Yarrowia lipolytica: one gene and its partners. The protein of the gene in region 1 interacts with the protein of each later gene in a pairwise test. Links are inferred from orthologs where the notes say so. Each region holds a gene or a part of one and is shown in the gene's direction. Other genes may lie near its edges. The genes, in order: YALI1_B27102g, YALI1_F01034g, YALI1_C32706g and YALI1_C06917g.

Region 1 (6,922 bases):
TCGGACTCTTCTCCAAACTCCATCCACATTCTTGAGCTTCATGGTGTGGAAGTAGAACCGCATGAACCAGGGCAGAGTTTCCGAGTAGATGAAGGTGACGGGCTCGGAAGAAGGGTTGGTGAAGGCGGTTCGAACACCTCCTCGTTGTTGTCCGTGGCCAGAGAAAGACCGCTGGGCAAACACAGGAGGAGACGACACAGGGGACACATGGGTGGCGTTATCGGACGACAGAATGATGTCCAGAGAGTCAGTGTTAGCCAAAGACAGTGTAGGATAGGTGTCCAGAATCTCACCGTCCTCACCAGACTTGCTCTGCAGCTTCCATCCGTCAGGGACGTCCAGGTTGACGGAGCCCTGTCCGATTCTACAGGCTCCCTCAATAGGCCGCCCGAAGATCTCCCGGATACTCCAGGACACCTCGGTAGGGTCACCGAGAGGGAAACAGATGTAGTCGTTAGCATAGGGCTTGGAGGTGTCACATCTGAAGTCGGTTCCGTAAAGAGGTACGGGGATAGGGTGCTTGTTTCGTCTTAATTGACGAGGAACATCGACCACGGCATCTACAGTCTGCTTGAGCACCATCTTGCAGGCTTCCTCATCGGTGCATTCTCGATGAACGTCAATGGCCATACCTTGCCACTGGGAGTCGAAGATCTTGTGTCCGTCAAGAAGAGAAGAGATTCCAGCCTTACCCTTGCAAGGGAGCAGTCGAATGAAAGGAGTGAGGTTTTCGGTGCAGACAGGTTCAGCAGGAAGCGCGCCCGAGAACAGGTATGCTGTGGTTTCGTTCGCTCCGTTGGAACCTGTGGATGATTGTTTAAAGGTGAACTGAGGCTCCACTGTGTGGGCCGAGTCAATGAAGTTCAGCGAGGCGCAGAAAAGTCCAGACAGCGAGTTGACCAGTCCGAACCACTTCTTCTTGGCTTCCTGTTTGGATGAGGCCTCGATCCAGGCCCAAGCCTCGATTCCTGTTCCGCCAGCAAACGCTCCATTGTGTGGGAGAACGCCCCATTCTTCGGCGTCCCAAAATCCCTGGGCAAACCGCAAGTGGATTTCGCGCGCGTCGCTCTGGGTGATGATCTGTGAGAGAATTCGGGGGAACTCGTCGTGATGAGCGACCGGGTGGGTGTTGAAGGGTTCGGACTCAGCCTCGAATTCGAACGAGGCGTGAAGATACTTCTGCGACAGAGGCCGCAGAGAAAGGTTCTCCGAGTATCCAAGCACGCATGCCACCAATGCCAAGCAGAGCAGTATCGACAGTTTCATCGTTGTGTGCTGATGAATCTGACTCTGAGATGGGTATTACGTATTGCATGCATGCGCGTTTACAGTGCTTGTATCATACGTGGTGAGTCTAATGGTGGGATAGAGAGGCGTTATTGAGATGTGAAGTTATCAGTTAACAACTCTTCAGGCAGGAATGATGTTGAGGGATCATTATGACTCTATCAAGTATGTGATATATGTTTAAATCACCCCTATATTCCCAATATGGTACAATATTCTTGAGAATATTTTATTTATTTATTCATATTTTTTTATACATTAAACCCTATAGAATATGAGAAGAAAATATAGACAAGCATGTCAAGTAAATTGTTAGATTACAGCACAAGTACGCACTTGTACTGTGGGTAAAAAAAGTCATCTTTACTTCCTGTGTTAAGATTGTAAAAAGCGAAGCAGCTGTCATTTTTGTGGCAATACCAAGCCTTTTCTCATATAATTGGCTTCCATAATGTACCTCCTACACATATATTTTCCACCAGTTGAGAACATGATTGTTCACCATTCCTTTTTCTATAATCACATAATGCATACTGTCTGTTTTTTCTTTTCTTTCTGCATATACTGTACATTCATTTAATTATAACTTCGTCTGTGAAAGGGCTGTTTATCTTACTCCAACAAATGTCCCAACTGAGGGAAAGTAATGTTATCATGTTTTCAACTAAAAATAGAGACATACACACCTCACTTGGTACATCACCCTACCACATCTACGCGTATTTCTTGATTGAATAAAGAACGTGCACACCAAAATCCCGTTTTGCCCCTCCTTATGTCTACTTGTAGTATCTTCTCAATTCTCCACAAGATGCATCTTGTCGCACTCCCACATTATCTCAGATCAGAGCTTGATTTGTATTTTTATGCATTGCGTTTTCTCACTACTAACACACCCACACACAACAGCATGGACGAAATTAAGCGGCTGCGAGAAGACAGGCAAAAGCCGTTCTTCGAGGATGACGACGCAGTGATGGCAGACGTATCGGAAATGCAGGCTCTTAACGATGATGAGCGTCAAAACCTGCCTCAGGACTCGTATACTGCTCCACAAGAGTTCCTCAACGAGACTGTATCTTTGCAGGCTGTCGATGAGCTGCAAGCTAACGAGTCCAACAAGAGCATTTACAACCGTGCAAACGATTACAAGCGCAAACGTCTGGATCGCCAGGAGGCTGATGACGATGAGAAGGATCTAAGCTACAAGGAGCGACTGGCTTTAAGAGACCTGGAACGAGACGAGAAGCGAGTACAGGAGGCAATCAGAAAGAAGGAGGAGGCAAATGGAACATCCCAGAAGGAACAGGATGAACTTCGGAAGTTCGAACGGGCTCAAACTCCTCCCAGAGTGGGTCCTCGTGTCAGAAAGGGCCGATCAGATAAACCTGTCACTGAAGACAGTGGTGAGAGAGGACGAAAGCGGAAGTCGAGATGGGACGTTCCCGACGAAAAGGAAGCCGAGACGTCTACAACCAGCAAAATAACAGACGAGTTTCTTGCTTCGGTGCTTCCTTCGGAAGGATACATTGTACTTACTCCCCCTGCTTCATACAAGCCATTAATCAAGAGCAAGGTGACAGTCAAGATTGAGGGATACAGCATTCCAGGAGGCAGCACAGAAACTGCGGTCGATAGAGCATTGGCGATCCAGGCAGCCGTTCCTTCGGCTGACGCTATTCCTGGAGTGGGAGATTTGGCGTACTTTAAGGAAAGTGATATGAAGTACTTTGGAGCGCTGATCAAACAGCAGGATGCAGAAGAACAGGGTCTATTGAGTGCTCGTGAAATGAAGGAGCGCCAGGTGATGCGTCTGATTCTAAAAATCAAGAACGGATCTCCTCAGATGCGAAAGCAGGCCATGAGACAGTTGACTGATTCTGCTCGATCTCTGGGTCCCGAGGCCCTTTTTTCGCAAATCATCCCCCTTTTCAGAGAAAGGTCCTTGGAGGATACAGAACGACACTGGCTTGTCAAGGTGGTTGATCGAGTCCTGTTCAAGCTGGGTGATCTGGTAAGACCATACACACCCCGACTATTGTCTGTCATTGAGCCATTACTGATCGATGAGGACTATTTCACACGAGTCGAGGGACGGGAGCTGGTTGCCAACATCTCCAAGGCCGCTGGACTCCCACATATGATATCAACACTCCGACCTAACGTCGGACACGCAGACGAGTTTGTCCGAAACACCACTGCTCGATCGTTTGCCATTGTTGCTAGTGCTCTGGGAGTTCCTGCATTAGTTCCTTTCATTAAAGCCGTCTGCAAGTCAAAAAAGTCATGGGAAGCTCGTCACACAGGAGCAAAGATTGTCCAGCAGATTGCTATTCTCATCGGATGCACAGTGCTGCCATATCTCGGCTCTCTCGTGGATTGTATTGGAGACGGATTGACTGACGACAACCCTAAGGTCCGTCAGATGACCGCGCAGGCTCTTGCTGCTCTTGCCGAAGCTGCCGCCCCTTACGGTATTGAGTCGTTTGAGAACGTATTGGAACCTCTCTGGCTTGGGGTGCGAGAGCAGCGAGGTAAACATCTTGTGGCGTTTCTGAAAGCGATTGGATACATTATTCCTCTGATGAATCCCGACTATGCCGATTATTATACCAAGGAAGTTATGGCTGTCGTTCTTCGAGAGTTCTATTCCCCTGACGAGGAAATGAAGCGAGTGGTTCTGGAAGTGGTCACGCAATGTGCCCGCTCTGAGGGTGTAACCGCTCGATACATTCGTGTCGAGGTTCTTCCCACGTACTTTAAGTGCTTCTGGACCCGTCGAATGGCTTCTGATCGAGTGTGCTACAAGCTTATTCTCTCTACAACTGTGGAACTGGCTAATAAGGTCGGTACTGCTGAAATCGTGGACCGAGTTGCTAACCATCTCAAGGACGAGTCTGACCACTTTAGACGACTTACAATGGAGACTATTGACAAGGTTGTGGCCAATCTCGGAATTGCTGATATCGAGGCCGGCTCGAAACTGGAAACCCGTCTGGTTGACGGTATTCTGACGGCGTTCCAGCTGCAATCACCAGCTGCCAATGCCAACCGAGCCGACTCGATTGTCATGCTACGAGGCTTCGGAACAGTTATCCAAGCTCTTGATACACGAGCCGCACCCTACTTTTCTCAGATCACGTCTTCCGTGCTGTTCAGACTCTCCAACAAGTCCCCTATTGTTCGAAGTCAGGCTGCCGACTTGATTGGCCAGATTGCTGGAGTTATGAAGAACTGTGGAGAAGATGAGGCCCTCAACAAGCTGGGACAAATCCTGTACGAGCAGCTTGGAGAAGAGTATCCTGAGGCTCTGGGTTCTCTGCTTGGAGCCCTCAAGGCCATTGTCGCTGTTGTTGGTCTGGCTTCAATGACTCCCCCCATTCGAGATCTTCTGCCTCGTCTGACGCCTATTCTGCGTAACCGACACGAAAAGGTACAGGAGAACACCATCGATCTGGTTGGTCGAATTGCCGACCGAGGTCCCGAGTATGTGTCCGCTCGAGAATGGATGCGAATCTGTTTCGAGCTCATTGATCTCCTTAAGGCACACAAGAAGACCATTCAAAAGGCAGCAAATAACACATTTGGATATATCGCCAAGGCGATTGGCCCCCAAGATGTATTGGCCACGCTGCTATCTAACCTGCGAGTCCAGGAACGTCAGTCTCGTGTCTGTACAGCTGTGGCGATTGGTATTGTGGCCGAGACTTGTTCTCCGTTCACCGTGCTTCCTGCTCTGATGAACGAGTACCGTGTTCCTGAGATCAACGTCCAGAACGGTGTTCTTAAAGCCATGACCTTCATGTTTGAGTACATTGGAGATATGGCCAAAGACTACATTTACGCTGTGGCTCCCCTGCTGGAAGATGCTCTTACAGACAGAGACCACGTACATCGACAGACGGCAGCCACTGTTGTGCGCCATCTGGCCATCAACTGCGTGGGTCTCGGAGCCGAGGATGCCATGGTGCATTTTCTCAATCTGCTGATTCCCAACATCTATGAGACGTCTCCTCACGTGATCGTGCGTATTTTGGACGCCATTGAGGGCATTCGTCTTTGCCTGGGACCCGGCCTGGTGCTTAATTACATTTGGGCCGGTCTGTTCCATGCTGCCCGGAAGGTCAGGGATCCGTTCTGGAAGGCATACAACTCTGCGTACATCGATAATGTCGATGCCATGACTCCTTACTACCCCGACATGCCAGAGGATGATGAATTTTACCGACACGAGTTGGATTTGTGGGTTTAAGAGACTACAAGTGAATTGTTAGTTCACATTTAGCATAATGTATATTACAGAAAGGGGTTGCCCCCATCACTTAATTGACCATATACAAGTACAGTATGTACATACTGTACTCGTAAGTACGATAGCTAGCTACTGTAATTATCAGTGGCAGCTACAGTGGAGACTGCCATGGATGCAATCACAGTGACTCAGGAACAGATACAGTAGATCGATGCTGTGTTTCTTTTGTAGGAGCAAAAGTGATGGGAGAAAATATACTGTTGCCATGATCGGGTCATCTGACCGCGTTGTCCTTGCGAATACAGAGTTCCGTGGGTTCATGCTGCTTCTCCTGACAAGGAGGCAACAAACTATAGTAGTTGGCTAATCAAGTAATAATATAGCTAGCTACCTGTGTAATCATTAATACTAATCAGTATTTGCACCAAATGACAGCATTGTTGAGAGGTGTCAAATATGCGGCCTAGTCAGAGGTACCCCACAATTCAAAGACGGTATTGTACACCGCGTTGGTGTCACTGTCCGAAACAGGGGCTACTACTGTACAGTATCGTACTATACGTGGGATATGTAACCCGTTGTTCCTGCTGCCTCTTTCCTTTGATGTGACATTACAATACTGTAGCTGCAGTACATACGAAGTAGCCTTTGGTTGAGCCTAGGGTCTGCTAGACGTACAAGCGACCGTTACGAAGAGGCACTATAGTGGCGATTGGAATTGGACGAGTATGACACCATGCCACGACGCCTTTTTTTATAACTTCATTGGAACTCAAACACATGTGAATATTCCTTCAAATGTCTTTCTACTACAAGTACCTCTTACTTTTTTGACGATTATGCACCCCACAAACGTGCCCCACACTAAAATTGATCCATCATCCAAGTAAGGACAACTCTGTTTTAAGTGTCAAAAGGTGGAGGGACACTAAAGGGCTACTTGTAGTGGAAGGTATATAAAAAGTCGTAGATGTCAGCTGGGTTGTAATTGGTCCAATAAAATGATTCTACTCTACGTCCTGGCCTTTCTGGTGTCTTACCTGATTTTCACCCGTCTTCGATATCGCTACCAGAGCTATAAGCTGGCCCAAAAGTGGAAATGTTCACCGGTGAGAGACGTCTCATCGTTTCCTATGGCTTTTCCTGAGTTCTTGTTCTTCTTCAAGTCGGGCAAGAACAATGTCTTGTTAGACGAGTTTGTCAACTTCTTCACCAAACGACAACCAAACCTGACCGTGGGTCTGGTGCTGGCAGGCAATGATGTGACTGTTACACTAGAGCCTGAGAACCTCAAAGCCTTGCTGGCTACACAGTTCAAAGACTTTTGTTTAGGAGTCAGACACAACCAATTGGCCCCCATATTGGGTGACGGCATATTCACTC
Region 2 (4,661 bases), on another chromosome or scaffold:
CCTTCTTGGGCTCCTCCTTGGTCTCAGGAGCAGCGGAAGCAGCGGAAGAAGAAGAGGCGGCAACAGGAGTGGCCGGAGTAGCAACAGGAGCAGCAACAGGAGCCTCCTTCTTGGGCTCATCCTTCTTGGGCTCCTCCTTCTTGAGGGCCTCCTCCTTCTTGGGCTCCTCCTTCTTGGTCTCCTCCTTCTTGGGCTCCTCCTTCTTTGGCTCCTTCTTCGCCTCAACCTCCTTCTTGGGCTCCTCCTTGACGTCCTCCTTAGGCTCCTCCTTGACATCCTCCTTGGCCACCTCTTCGTCGTCATCCTTCAGGAACCGGAACACGTCGCTGTAGATGGAGTAGTTGGTGCCGCTCTTGCTTTCGAGAACAACGGACTGCACAAACTTCTGAGGCACGCCATCGTCGGTGGACGACATCTGGCCGATGATCTGGATCAGAATGGACTTGTTGGGGCCCTCCATGGCGTCCAGGCACGAGATGAGCGTCTTGCAGCCCTTGGTGTGCAGCTGGCTAATCCGCTCCTGGATGCTCTCTGTGCCAGAGATCGCGGCGGTGTCGTCCTGCTCCTTGCCGTGCAGCAGCTTCGCATCGACGTCGTAAAAGTGGTGCAGCTCGCTGGGGTCCGAGTGCAGTCGCTTAAAGTACTGCGACACAAACAGCCATGCAATCTGTTCAGCGGTGGGGGACATCTGGGTTAGCGAGGTGAAGAAAAGTGCAAGTGCGGATCGCAGGCGAGGTCGTAAGACGGGAAAAAGACACTATTGCTCGTCAGACTGGGTGCAAGAGACCAGCTTTTGTGTATGACAGCAGCAGATCTGTAGTGGAGATGCAGTATTGGGATCACAGATGTGGGTCTGTCGCCAGCTCACTAGCGATATGATGATGTCTGCGGTGATCTGTCGAGTGCTGTCTGTTGGATGCTGTACGTTGAGTGTTGCCTGACGAGCACTATCCGCTAATGACGTGTCTTCTCTTTGACCTGTGAGTTGCTGTATCTTTTCTCTCTGCAGTCAGCCTGACAACTGCGTATGCGTGTATTCGTGGGACTGGCGGTAGGTGGGAGACCAAGATGGTCTGTAATGAACTGAATCAACACCCGAAAGGGCCAAATGAACACGTATGACAGCCCTAAATCAGCACCAACAGATCCGGTGGCCAACATTCACTGAATTCATGTCAGCATTAGTCACATCAAAGTCACCACATAGTCACAGCAACAACATCATGATAGAACACACACAGTCAACAGCAGACAGAAGCAGCAAACAGCTCCAGCAACCAGCCAACAGCTCCATCCACCAGCCAACAACATAACCTGCGTCTCTCACCGCTCTCGTCGTCCTACCACCGTGTCTGTGCCTCACTCTCTGCCGCTCTCTACCTCCTCACATTGGGGACATTTCATCGTTGTTGATCCAAACACAAAGAGGCAGAAAAGAGCGAAATCAACACACACAGACCGACACCGGAGACGTCACGTGGCCCATCTCCGAGCGCGGTGCCGCGCCATACTCACCGTAAAACGGATGTGATCAAAGACTAGGGTTGAGGGTCTTGAGGTGAAAGAAAAGCACTTTCATCAGGCGAACTTAAAACTACGGCTGACTAAGGTGGGTGGGTGAGTATGGGTTAGGTTAAGAGTGGTGGTGGAAAATTGTTCACCAGTTCGATTTTCCGCCATTTCAATGAATTTTTTGTTTTAATATTTCTTTTCGTTTTCCCAGATCAGTTCAATTCACCTGGAAATGAGCACAAAATAGTCTGGCTTTTGGTTGTTGCTTTAGGCTGAATGAAATAAATTTATAAAAATTAAAAATTTAAAAATTAAAAATTAAAAATGTATTTTTAAAAAAAACCACAAAAGAAATAAAGAAATAAAAAAATACCAAAGGTCAATAAAAATGGAGAAAAATACAAATATACAAAAATACAAATACATCAATTCATTAAATCAAGGATTTTTTTTTGTTTTTTCATTTAATTTTTTTCCCAAATCAATTCATATCTCTTAATCTGAAACCTAAAATCGCCCACCAATATGGAATTCCAAGCTCGACAATTACACGATACTAATTCACTCCAACATGTCAGACAACCAATTGGCGGAAATCGCGGCAATTGCCCCGTTACCGCCCGCCGGTGGAGACCCCGATCACGTGACATACTCGACGATCAAGGGCACGTATCTGTATGAGAAGGAGGAAGATGGGACCATGTTCGAGTTTGACCATGTGACTAGAGGCTGGCGGTTGATAGAGGAGGAGGAGGAGGACAAGGAGGAGGAGGTGGAGGATAAGGGAGACGAGTTGGAAGCGGCTCTGGTTGCTGGGGAGACGACGGACACAACTGCGACTGCGAAGGCGGAACCGAGTGGGAGGGATACGGGCAAAAACCAGCCGGTTTCGGACAAGAAGGCGGTTCAGGAGCAGCTCAAAAAGAGGCGCAAAGAGGTAATTGAGGAGCGACGGAATGCGAAAAAGGCTCAGCAGAAGGGCGACAAGCCTCCTCAGAAGGCCATCTATGTCAGTGGGCTTCCTTCAACTGCTACCAACGATGAGCTGGTGGACATTTTCCAAAAGTACGGAGTGTTGGCCGAAGATGTTTACACTGGCAAGAAGAAGGCTCGGGTTTATGTCGATGAGCAGGGCAAGGGCAAGGGCGACGGTCTGGTGGTTTTTTTCAAGCCCGAAAGCGTGAAATTGGCGGTGGATATGCTGCACAATCAGCCAGTTTACGTTGGCGACACAATGGTCACTCTGAATGTCCAGCCGGCAGTTTTCGACAAGGAAAAGGGCAGTAGCGACAATAAGAAGCAAGAGACGAATTCCGGTCCCAATTACTCCGAAGAAGCCAAGGCCAAGGCCAAGAGGAAGTACACTCAATTGCAGCAAAGGCTCAACGATTGGGATGAGGAGGAGGTCAAACGAGTCAAGACGGAGTCTCGTGAAAAGTCGTCCAAGGTGGTCACTCTCAAACGGGTATTTACCATTCAGGAGCTCCAGGATGACGTGGATGCCGAAATGGACATCAAGGAAGATATTTATAACGGTTGTGGAGCTATCGGAACAGTCACAAACGTGACTTTATACGACCTGGAGCCCGACGGAGTGGTGACCGTCAAGTTTGAAAGAGCTTCCGATGCCGCGGAGTGCGTGGAGAAGATGAACGGTCGCTTCTTTGGTGGCCAGAAACTCGAGGCATACATTGATTATGACGAGACCAAGTGGAGAAAGACTAAGGATCGGGGAGGTGATGAGGAAGATGAGGAGAGGCTGGAGAGGTTTGGAGAGTGGCTGGAGGGCGAGTAGTATAGTATGTACTCTGTTAGATACACTTGGTCTCCATCTCGCCATAAGTGCGTGTATACTAATCATATAGATCGACAAATGGACAAGTTGAGTTCAATAGGGTATGACGCGCGAAGCCGAATCAATTACTTAACGTTAGTTTTTTGTATTTTTTTTATTTTATTTGTTATAACATAATAATATTGAAACGTCGATATTTTGTTTAAATAGTTACCATATTTACAAAATTGTTAAAATCATTGTTAAGATTCTGTATCCCAGGGTTTAGATATTGTTACAGTATCTGGAGAAGAACAAAGTAAACCTATGAAGCACGAATTTGTCATTGTATCCTGTCAAATATGACTTGAAGCAGCCTTCATATTGTCAGCTACTGGTGCAGTTTTGGATGTCTCCGAGAATGATTGAGTAGTGTTCCATTTCGACGCAGATTTAAACTGGAGGTTCTAATCGGCTTTATGAAATAGATAGAAAACAAGTGTTACAACGGCAATAACTTCAAAAGCCAGGCCAATATTTCCAGGCCAATATTTCCAGGCCAATATTTCCAGGCCGTTTTTATACTAACATAATACATTTTTATTTCATTTTTTGGCTAGTTCAATCGGTACAGTACCAGATAACTCCAACTAAATTTACTTGATAACCCAACTGAAGAGTGAATCATTAATTTGAGTCGAAAATAGTCGTCGTCTGCTGATCGATATAAGTAGTAAAAGGCAATAAAAGTAGTATTAATTGAAATCTGGCACTTATATTATTACTTTGATCCACTTTTTTATCTCCATAATATTGATTCTACACAGGTTTGATAGACTAGTGAGCAGATTGAATATATGCGTTTATTCTCTATTTTAAACAAAATCAATTCAAATAGTTAGAAAATATGTTGATAAGTTCTTAAAGTAGCTTAGAAATTAGGAAATGTCTTATTAAATACAGTTAAAAATACTTGGAAATCCTTCCACTACAACACAGTGGATAAGTCCCGTTACAGACCTATATGGTCAGTTTGAAGTCCAAAATTGTCTAAATATAAATATTTACAACATGAGCACACTTTTCTCCTCGTCTCTTCCAGTCAATTGAGTCATCCATTGCAACTATCGTCGACTCACTCCCAGATTACGTGACTCCATCAATGTACTTCCAAGGTATTCAGATCACGTGATTCGATCAATGTACTTCCAAGAAATCCAGATCACGTGACTTCAATTATCCCACGTGTCCGTTTGATTCTGTCTGGCTCAGTTTGCTGCCCCTGAATCGCAAAAAACTGCTCTTCTAATCCTAGCATCTACGGTCTCTGTTGAAACGCACCTCTTTTCTGGTCCCTCTTACCTGTGATTACCAA
Region 3 (3,991 bases), on another chromosome or scaffold:
AAAAATCAGCCCGAGAAACGGTCCAGTATGGGCTGTGGGTGCGCGAGAGCACAGAAAAGCGCGCATTCGGAAATGTGTGGGTGTATTTGGCAATTCATAGAGACTGTCCTACTACCCCTGTCGCCCCAGACGAATCTATTGGATTTGTCTTTTTTGCTGAAATTAAGACGCATTCCTAAAGTGGATCTCACGTATACCAACACTGATAATCCGAGTCAGCATGAGCCCAAGAGCCTACTGTGTACCCTGTGCGCCCTGTGCACCCCCTTTTTTTACGAGGTGCTAATCCGTGTTTAACATCGTATAGCTGTTATTGGGGAGCAGATTTCGGCCTATGTCTTTAATTTCTCTGTGTTACGATTTTCACACTCTTCAGGGGGCTTTGGTCGGTGTAGCCCGTATTATCACTCAACGTCACGGTGACATTATATCCATTAGGTTTGAAGTTGTAGAGTGTAAATCGTGTTATTAAACTCTTTCTACATTGTCAGAAAAAAACACAGATTCCCGAAAGCGATACCCTGAGAGAGGAGCTATTCGGTGGCACCTGGACATCCCGGTTTCAAAATTAGCGCTCTGTATACGCACAGACGCTCTTCTGACAGCTAACAGAGTGGGCGGACGTCACCGCCGGGTTTGCAAAAATGCTCCATTTTAGCATTTATAGGTGACATAAGCCTCAGAGGCTAGCCACCCACGTCAGAGTATCGTGGAGCTACTTGTACAGGTCACGTCGACAGCGAGTTCCCAGAGCTCACAAGCGGTCCTTGGAAGGCGGAGAAAAGATAAAATTACATGGGGCAAAGGCTACTAACGCTTGAAATGCTCGTATCGTGATTTTTCGCTTTTTCGTCATCCGCTCAAGTTCTAAAATCTTGATGGAATACGGTGACAGACGCTAGTCATGCACGTTTTGGGTCTAGAATATAGAACTCGGACGTAGCAGGGGCTGAGCTGCCGTAGTTCAAAAATGCCTGGTGCGACGGCCTCCTAGACCTCACCAATCAATGACAAAAACGCACAACGAAAACCCAGCGGTCGTCAACCACCGAGAACTGTTTCTGGCGATTGCAGCCTCGATAGGAAAGGTTGTCGAGGACAACGGCCTTATCTACACCAACTGTGGAGTCGACAGACACGCTCAAGTGACATTTCCCGCGTCCAATGTCTCAGATGCCCAGCTCGACCGGATGATGGACTTCTACCACACCAGCCTTCCTCGTACCATAGGTGTATGGAAGGAGGACGGAGTTGGAAACGAGGCTCTGTCGGCTCGGCTTCTTGCTAGAGGCTTTCAGATTGGTTGGGAGCCTCAGTGGATGGTTTTGGATCTCGATACTGCCGACATTCGACCCAAGCACATCAAAGATGTGTACATCAAGGTCAACAACATGGCTGTGATTCCTTCCAGTATCCCATTTTCCAACAAGGAGGACGACGGCATGTACGCCCTCGATATGCGACGTTCAGGCGTTATTACCAAGTTTGTCGCCACTCACAAGGGCCAAATTATCGGCCATGCCGATCTATTCATGGGCACCGAAGCCGGTATTCACAACATTGGTGTTCACGACGACCACAGTGGCAAGGGAATCGGTGGTCAGCTCGTCAAGAATGCTTGCGCTTTCGCTCAGAAGAAGGGTTACAACCGAGTCTCTCTCAACGCTGTCAGCCAAGAGCTGTACCTCAAGCTGGGTTTCAAACATATTGTGAATGGAACTACCTGGTGGCTCTACCGAGAGGAGTTTGAAAAGTGCCAGAACAGCCCTGCGGAACAGAAGATCATCCAGCATGTCTGTCTTGGTGAACTCAACGAGATGGAGAAACTGCCAGCTGGAACTTCCTTCTCTTTCCCCACTACCAGTGGAATGTCTCTGCTACAGATGGCCGTCAAATTCAAGCATACCAAGATGGCCCAGTGGCTCATTTCCAAGGGAGCTCCTCATACCATTCTTGACCTGTGGGACATTGGAGGAGCGTCCTTGGCCAGTTCCATGCTTCCTACCCACATTGACGACCTGATAGAAGGGAAGACAGCTCTGCATCATGCTGTTGAACGGGGAGATGTGGAACTATCCAAGCACCTCTTGGCTTTCAACCCCAACCTGGACATTCGCGACTCCACCTACTCGTGCACAGCGCTGGGATGGTGTTCTGTTCTAGAGAGAAAGGAGATTGGCACCCTTATTCGAGAGGCTGTTGAGAAGATCGAAAACACCGAGTTTTCGTCGGTTGCAAGCACCTTGTAGCTTGAGTGCTAAAATTATTTAATGAGATATTGTGGGGTCTATGGGGGAGGATGCACCAAGTGCACAGACGGAATATTATAAAAATTAATGAACATTGCGGTAACTAACATATTGATCTACTGTAGGGGATCGAATATATATTTAATTCTTCGTATTTGACGAGCGCTAATATAGTAGATATTAAAACAATTTTTGTTCCATTTTAATTTCAAGCGGACTCTCGATACACTTTAAGCTTCGGAACAGCTGCACTACACTTAACATTTGGGCTCACGGGATTCAGCACGACCTGACAACACCATGGACGAATATCTGGCGAAAAAATACGGCTCTAAACCAAAGAAAACGAAAAAGCGAAAACTGGTGGAAGGCTTGGATGTGGATACCGCGCCAATTACGCAGCGACAGACACAACAGGCCCCTCCACCTCCGCGTGCCAAGGGCGGATGGAAGACTCTGTCTGGAAAGGCTATTGATCCGGTAGAAGAGACGGTCTATCGAGATGCCTCGGGAAACATCATTTCTGTGGACGACCAGATCTCCGTGTTACAGCAACGTCAGCAGGAGAAGGAAGCAGCTGAGCGTCGGAAAAAAGAGAACCTGCTAGGTGCAGTTCAAGTGGAGGAGGCCAGGAAACGACAGGCTAAAGAGGAGGCCATGAAACACACCAAGGTGACTGTGCATGCTGATGACAAGGAATACAATGAGGAACGTCAGAACCGGGCTATTTATGCTGATCCGGCAGCCAAGTTTGGAAAGGCCACACCCAAGGCTTCGACTACGAGCTCTGGAGGAGCCTTGCCTTCATACACTGGTTCGTTCCCCTCGAATCGGTTCAACATCAAACCAGGGTGTTTATGGGATGGCAATGATCGCAGCAATGGATTCGAGGCCAAGTGGCTATCGAGACAAGAGGAGATGAAACGTCAGGCCGATGTGGATTATCAGAATGAAATGGACTTTTGATTGGTTGAAGATGAAAGGTGCATATATTTATAGACATAATATACAGTCATTAATAGGGTTGTAGAACGGATACCCACTGATTCGGATAAGGGCGACATCATCTTTACCTGTTAAAGGTGGTTTACAATTGCTTCATGTGTAGTGTGTGTGGCGAGCCGACCTAAGTTCAGATAGCATAACAAACACACACACTCTCCCTCTGACATACTCTTCCACACAGTCACAGACACTCAGACACCCGGACACCCTACACCTCTGATACCCACATTCACTAAGAGAGTTGCCATGCTGATACCGGTTGATATTCTCCATTCAGGTGCGCACCATCCCTGAGTCCTTTGCTAACGACAGATACCTCGTTCTAACCTTCGACGTGGAGCTCCCTACCACCGAGATCAACCAGATTATGTTCAAGCACTTTCCGCTGAAGTCGGTCATAACATTGTCTCGGACCTGCCACTGACTCAGGGACTACATTGCTTGCGAAGATGCAACACCGGGAAAGACAAGGTTCTCGAACGATTCCCCTGGATGGAGCTGGCTTCAGATGCCCAATTGTTCACCTGGCTGGATTGTGCCAGACTGATTGTGCCTCACATGGCCGCCAGGGTAAATAACCAACAGCAATGGTAGTCAATGACAATAGACGAGAGGTACGAACAGCTCACGGGCCCTTTCTACAAGAACCTCGAGGTTACCTATATTCATGCAGTCAAGCGCTCCGGATCCACGCTCACCGCCCAGTTGAAGCCCCTCTTCGAGACTGGTACGTTTTA
Region 4 (6,574 bases), on another chromosome or scaffold:
GTCTATCTCCTTTATTGGGGGTATACAGCGCGACGATTACCGTTAGTCTAAAGTATACATTAATTGACTAACTAAGCTACTTACAGAAATAGAGCGATGACAGGAATGAGAGCTAGGAGAGGTGCAGTCACGATAGGAACTGCGGCGTTTGCCTGGGGAGGAACTGTTCCCGAGAACTGGGGCTCAGCTGGTTCAGAGGGAGAGGGAGGGGGAGAAGGTGTAGGCTCGGCTGGCTTGGAGGGTTCAGGCTGGAAACTGGTGGTCAAACAATCGGGAATATCACAAACAGAGGTGGTGGTGACAAAGTAAGTCATTGTCTCGATAGAAGGAGGAGCAGGAGGAACGGATTCAGACGTAATTGGCTCGGGAGTAGGCTCAGGCTTTGAAGAGATCACCGGCTCAGATTTGGGCTCAGTGGTGGGATCAGGCTTGGATTGAATCTTGGGTTGAGGAACCTCGGGGGAGGGTTCAAGGGCCTTGGTGGTTGACTTGGGAGTGGGTTCCGAAGTGGTGATCGGTTCTGGCTCAGGAAGGGAAGTATTATTTTCAATGTGAATTTTGGTGGTCGACTGGACAGGCTCTGGGGTGGACTCAGGGACTTAGAGGACCCAACCGACTTAGGAGGCTCCGTGGTTGACTTGGGAGGCTCCGTGTCTGACTCCGTCTTTGTCTCAAGAACATCTGCAGAGTCACAGGGAACAGTAACCGTGACAATCTTGCTGGAGATGGTGGTGACGATGGTTGTGGAGTAGAGAGTAGAGGTAGGGGGAATGGTAGAGACCTGAGCTTCGGGGGTTGTTTCCGGCAGAGTTGAAGTCTTGGAGGATGTTCTGGAGGATGTGCTAGGGGTTGATGTAGGCTTGGACTCAGTGGACGAAGGCGTTGGAGTAAAAGTCTTAGTAGGAAGGACAGTTGTTGAAGTTTTGGTTGTGGTTTGTTTGACACATTCAGTGACAACCCCAGTGGTGGTCCAGATATCGAAACCTGAATCAGTTTCCCAAGTCTTGGTTACCAGCACCTGCTCTTCAGGAGGGCAGGTGGAAGGAGGCCGGTTTCGACAGGTGGTGAAGACGTACTCGTTCACAATGCATAGCTCGTCCTCATATGTCATCTCGGTTTTGGTGTGGAGACGGTATTCGGAGGGCTCGCAATGAAGACCGAAGGCCTTGACTGTTTGCAGAGATGTTGTAGTGATTGCAGCTGAGTTGGCGGTGGTTGAAGAGGTTGAGGTCATGGTAGGCGTAGCTGTTGGAGCAGCCAGAGCCGGAGCTAGGAGGAGAAAAAGAGGGAACATGTTGTAGATGATGGGGTTCTTACGGCGGTGTCAAGGGTATTTATAGACATTCTGTAAACCCCCTTGATGATATTTCACGAAAGGCTTGATCGCTTTGGTGGTGTTTCTAATGAGCTTCACGGTTATTGACTTGGTCTCTTTGGTGAGATTTGGTCCAAGGTGTTTTTTGAAGTGACTGTTTTCGGTGAGTTGTAGCAGCCTCAATAATGGCCACTTTTAGTATGAAACAATACTGACTATTACTTTTCAACTACTCGTTCAAACCGCCCAGATACCAGCCTAATGATGGCAGTTACCGCAACGAGAGAAGCACAGCACAATTGCACGTGCCCCTGCCACTATCTTGAGCCAAACAGTTGTTCAATGCCCTTCTTTCAAACAGCAGTATTGATGTTTATTATCTCTCCTTTTGTCTGCTGACTGTTTGTCTGTTTCATCTTGTGGTTTTTGGTCCGGTCTATTGACTCTTCCTAGTACGGAGGAGCACGGTGTTGTAGTAGGAGGACCCCAGCAGTTTGCAAAATTCATAAATGAAAGCTCCTAAGGAACAATTTTCTGGATATAAACAGTATGTAGCAATAAAAAACCAATATTTATTACCAGAATTGCAGTTTTTGTGTGTTCTTTCACGTCATTATGACTGCTTGAGGTAGACACGCTTGACTGAGAACAGAGATCATCTAAAACCTGTTGTAGAGTAGATATCGAAATGAAATCTTATTCCAGCATCTCATTGCGGCACATATCCCCATTAAGTTGATTATCTACTCGCTAGCACCAATACTACTGCCCCAGAAGGTGGTCTCTCTGTACCGGATCTACCTCCTCTCTATCCCGATATCTTCATTAAAATTAGTTGGGAGAAGCTCCACCATATATAAGTAAGTATTTCACTCCAATCTCCCAGTCAAAACACCCTCTCTATCTCACCAACCACAAGGCTTACCGGAAAAGCAAGAGAGTATACTGCCATTTATTTCTCCATGAACCCTCAAATCCGCCGTCGGTTCCCCTCCACCGCTTCTCCCCACGCCATTATCTCCACCGTTAGTCCCCATCCGTGAACCCTATTTCCGGTTAATTTTTAAGCTCTGCATAATTATATCCGACTCTCTCAACATCGCCACTGCAAACACCTGCGATATATCTTCGTCTTTATCGGTTTACAGCCCTGATGCCACGTGACCGTGAGTATGACCAATGGGGCTATTCTGGCACCCGCAGAGATGGAGGTGGACGGTACGGATACCGAGATCGCTCGAGAGACGAGCGAGATCGGTTCCGGGATGTTAGAGACAGAGACAGAGACAGAGACAGAGACAGAGAAAGAGACAGAGGGGGTTACAGACAGGACCCGCGCGACCGACGTTATTCGAGATCACGTGAGCGGGAACGTCGCGGCTCTGGTTCACGGGATCGGTCACGGGATCGGTCACGGGATCGGTCACGGGACGCACATCGACCTCCCCCCTCGGGCCGTCCACACCAGCCTTCTGGGCATGATTCTACTAAGTCATCTAATTCCATGAGTGAAACTTCGAGTACTAGCCAGGTGACCGGCACCACGCCCAATACGACAAATGCAACCCCGTCGCAAGCAGAAATCGACGCCAAAAAAGCTGCCAAGCTTGCCAAAGTCGCTGAATGGAAGCGCAAAAAGGAGCTGGAGAGAAGTAAGAGCGCCAGCGCGAGCCCTGCTCCTTCCACCGCCCCCGCTTCTCCGAAAGCCGGCTTCTCCATGTCCGGATTGAGTGGTTTGCGTAAAGCTACAGATCAGGGCCAGGTGAAGAGAAAGATGTTCTTTGGGGGAGACTCAGATGAAGAGGACGCCGGTAGGAAGCCGGCAAAATTGTTGAAAAAGTTGGGTGAGAAGGAGGGCAGTGGTAAGAGTGAGGGTAAGGGAAGAGGTGGAAGCCAAAGTGAGGCCAAGAATGCCTCTGAAAAGAACGGTGCTGCTTCTGAGCCTGCCGAAGTCGACCCCCTCGACGCCTACATGTCTTCCCTGACCCTTCCAACCACCACATCTGTCTCCATAGCCGACTCCACTCCTTTGGAAAATCTCAATGTCTGGGAGCAGGTGGATACGCTGGAAAAGTCACAGGATCCGACTCTCGATCTTTCTGCGCTTTCGAAACGAAAGGAGATTGCGATTGTGGACCACTCCAAACAGGTCTATGAAGACTTCCGACGCCAATTCTACGTCGAATCGAGCGAACTTGCCGACATGACTGAAGCCGAAACGAATGAGCTGCGTCTTTCACTCGACGGAATCAAAATCCGAGGCAAAGATTGTCCCAAGCCAATCTCCAAATGGACACAACTGGGTCTTCCGGGACCTACTATGGGAGTTCTGAACGACTTGCGATACGATAAACCCACAAGTATCCAAGCCCAGGCAATTCCAGCTGTCATGAGCGGCCGAGATGTGATTTCTGTAGCCAAAACAGGTTCAGGAAAGACCTTAGCGTTTCTATTACCAATGCTACGTCACATCAAACACCGTGTTGGGGTCGAAACACATACCACCACTCTTTCGGGGGCCTCCTCTCACCCCTTGGGTGTCATCATTACACCCACAAGAGAACTGTGTGTACAAATCTACCGAGACTTGAGGCCGTTTCTGGCTGCTCTCGAACTCACAGCTGTATGCGCTTATGGCGGCAGTCCCATCAAAGACCAGATTGCTGCTCTCAAAAAGGGCACCCATATCATTGTCTGTACTCCTGGACGAATGATCGACTTGTTGGCTGCCAACCAAGGTAGAGTGCTCTCATTATCCAGAGTGACCTTCCTGGTCATTGACGAAGCCGATCGAATGTTCGATATGGGCTTTGAGCCTCAGGTTCTCAAGTTGACCCAATCTATCCGACCTGACCGGCAAACTGTACTTTTTTCAGCCACTTTTCCGAAGAAAATGGAACAGCTGGCGCGAAGAGTGCTCAGCAAGCGGTCGTCTGACTCCCTGGGTCCTATTGAAATCATTGTCGGAGCGCGCTCCGTGGTTGCTTCTGAAATCACGCAGTTTGTGGAAGTATTCCAGAACGAAAAGAGCAAGTTCCCGCGCCTTTTAGAGGTTCTGGGCAAGTATTTTGCTCAGGGATTCTTTGACGAGCAAAGTGAGGGTCGTGTGGGTACCGGAGAGTCGGCAGCTACCCCCATTCCCAACCCCAAGTGTCTCATCTTTGTGGAGCGTCAGGAGAGTGCTGATTCTTTGCTCAAGGAGCTCATCCAATCTGGTTACCCGTGTCTTTCTATTCATGGAGGCAAGGAGCAGGCTGATCGAGACCAGGCGATCAGCGATTTCAAAAGCGGGCTTGTTTCCGTGCTCATTGCCACCTCTGTGGCTGCTCGAGGTCTCGACGTCAAGGGGCTCGGTCTAGTTGTCAACTGGGACTCCCCCAACCACATGGAAGACTACGTGCATCGGGTTGGGCGAACCGGACGGGCTGGTCAGAAGGGTACAGCGTTGACGTTCCTTCTGAGTGACCAGGAGCGTCTGGCAGCTGAAATCTCACGTGCCATCAAGTCGTCTGGAAACGCGCCCCCTGCGCCTGTGCAGCTCATGACCGAGAGATTCGAGTTCAAGGTGCGGTCTGGAACTGAGAAGAGACACATGTACGGCTTCTCTGGTAAAGGTCTGGAGCGTCTACAGGATGAGAGAGATGCGACCAGAGAACATGAGCGACGAGCATATGAGGGAGACGAGGCTGGAGAGGCTGAGACGGAAAGCAGTACTCCAGCTGCCAGTACTGCAAACACTGATATCATTCCCAAGCCTGTGATTGTGGTTACTCCTCCAGACAGCAAATCCCCCACAACTGCTTACCACACGACGCTGCAGATCAACGACTTCCCTCAGCAGGCTCGATACAGAGCCAGTAGTAACACTTCTGTCAGTCGTGTTATTGCCAACACTGGTTGCAGTATCACTGCTAAGGGCGAGTACTATCCTCCTGGTCGTATTCCCGGACCCAAGGATGAACCCAAGCTGTTTATTCTCATTGAGGGTACCAGTGAGCGGGCGGTGAAACTGGCTCATCATGAGTTGTCGGAGCTTCTGGTGAGTGGTTTGGTTAAGGGCGCTAGGTATCAGGTGTAGACGATACCAAGGGGGGGTCAAACTTTGTAGGACCGAGTATGGAATGGTCCATGTACGAGTAGGAAGATGTATATATTATAACGATTGACGAATGAAGCGGTTGAGAGGCAGAAAGTATTCCACTTGTTCCAGTATCTACGGTACAATAACTAAGGAGTAACCATTAGTTCTCAGTCAGACTTGGCTATGGTGTCATGGTGTACACACTATTGGACTGTTGCTGAGTTTTCATTTGGAGATCTCTCAGGAGCTGGATCTTTTCTCATGCTCTCGTTGTATAACGATGTTTCAACCTGAACCCCGTTATCACCACCCTTCACCATTGCACCCCACCAATCGTTAAAATAATACATTCCTATATAATCCTTCTAGTCTCAGATGGCGCGTAACCATCCACATGAGTCGTCCTAGCCCCTTGTTGTTATTGTTGAGTCGTTGAGCATCTCTCCACAAGAAAGCATCGTGGAGACAATGTAGCCGCAGACAACACAATGGCAACACTGCAGAATCTCGGGAATCACAGTAATCACATGAGTCGCCCACTAATCATAAATCAATGGCTCCTCGACTTTCTCTGTCTTCATCAATTCGGTCCGGTTCTTAGCCTTCTCCTTGGCCAGCTGCTGACTGAGTTTGCCACCCTTATTCTGGCCCTGGGCCCGGGCCTCTGCGGCGCGTGCGGCGGCCTCCTTGGCGTCCAGCGTTTCGGCTGTGCCTCCCAGAGTGTGTCCTGGCGAGTTGTATGTGTTTGTTGGCTGTTTGGGCGGTTGTTTCTTGAGTGGGATGTTTTCCGTCTTTGCTGGTTTGGCAGGCTTAGCCGCTGGTGGTGCTCGTCCTGCGGTCCTGCCCGACGTGGACGCGGGCTCGCTCTTGCTGAAACACGAACCCATCGTTGTAGTCGGCGTCAAGTGTGTGTGGAGTGATGATGTGCGGGTTTAAGAGTGGAGTGCATGACCATGCGTGGAGGGGAATAGGGGTAGTTGCTGTGGGGGGGAGGAGGAGTGAGAGAAAAAAAGAGAAAAGTGCGATGGGAATAAAAGAGTGGTAAAAACTGACTGTATTTTTCAGAATTCAAATTGATGAAGATTTCGTCATGTTTGAAACACCTGATGATTTCGATAGAGCAGCCCATTGAACCTTGATAGTGGCATTTGAAATGAGTGTAGAAAAGGCAGTGGTGG

What was found.
Region 2: the proteins of YALI1_B27102g (region 1) and YALI1_F01034g interact in binary tests that used the Saccharomyces cerevisiae proteins (3 or more experiments, as listed by UniProt). The link is inferred for Yarrowia lipolytica from reciprocal best matches to the Saccharomyces cerevisiae genes HSH155 and CUS2.
Region 3: the proteins of YALI1_B27102g (region 1) and YALI1_C32706g interact in binary tests that used the Saccharomyces cerevisiae proteins (3 or more experiments, as listed by UniProt). The link is inferred for Yarrowia lipolytica from reciprocal best matches to the Saccharomyces cerevisiae genes HSH155 and BUD13.
Region 4: the proteins of YALI1_B27102g (region 1) and YALI1_C06917g interact in a two-hybrid assay, tested with the Saccharomyces cerevisiae proteins (3 studies listed by BioGRID). The link is inferred for Yarrowia lipolytica from reciprocal best matches to the Saccharomyces cerevisiae genes HSH155 and PRP5.

Annotation. Positions count from the first base shown.
Region 1 is NC_090771.1:2,705,340-2,712,261, reverse strand, and holds YALI1_B27102g (uncharacterized protein), read left to right. Parts: upstream 1-2,062; coding exon 2,063-5,539; downstream 5,540-6,922. Other genes in the region: YALI1_B27110g (uncharacterized protein), read right to left, coding at 1-1,266; YALI1_B27057g (uncharacterized protein), read left to right, coding at 6,541-6,922. UniProt on the Saccharomyces cerevisiae protein: Contacts pre-mRNA on both sides of the branch site early in spliceosome assembly.
Region 2 is NC_090775.1:101,343-106,003, forward strand, and holds YALI1_F01034g (uncharacterized protein), read left to right. Parts: upstream 1-2,083; coding exon 2,084-3,307; downstream 3,308-4,661. Other genes in the region: YALI1_F01020g (uncharacterized protein), read right to left, coding at 1-688. UniProt on the Saccharomyces cerevisiae protein: U2 snRNP protein which helps to refold U2 into a structure favorable for its binding to SF3b and SF3a prior to spliceosome assembly. Mediates functional interactions between U2 RNA and PRP5.
Region 3 is NC_090772.1:3,269,182-3,273,172, reverse strand, and holds YALI1_C32706g (uncharacterized protein), read left to right. Parts: upstream 1-2,549; coding exon 2,550-3,215; downstream 3,216-3,991. Other genes in the region: YALI1_C32721g (uncharacterized protein), read left to right, coding at 1,008-2,249. UniProt on the Saccharomyces cerevisiae protein: Required for efficient splicing and pre-mRNA nuclear retention. May also be involved in positioning the proximal bud pole signal.
Region 4 is NC_090772.1:687,677-694,250, reverse strand, and holds YALI1_C06917g (uncharacterized protein), read left to right. Parts: upstream 1-2,468; coding exon 2,469-5,393; downstream 5,394-6,574. Other genes in the region: YALI1_C06929g (uncharacterized protein), read right to left, coding at 85-524, 614-1,294.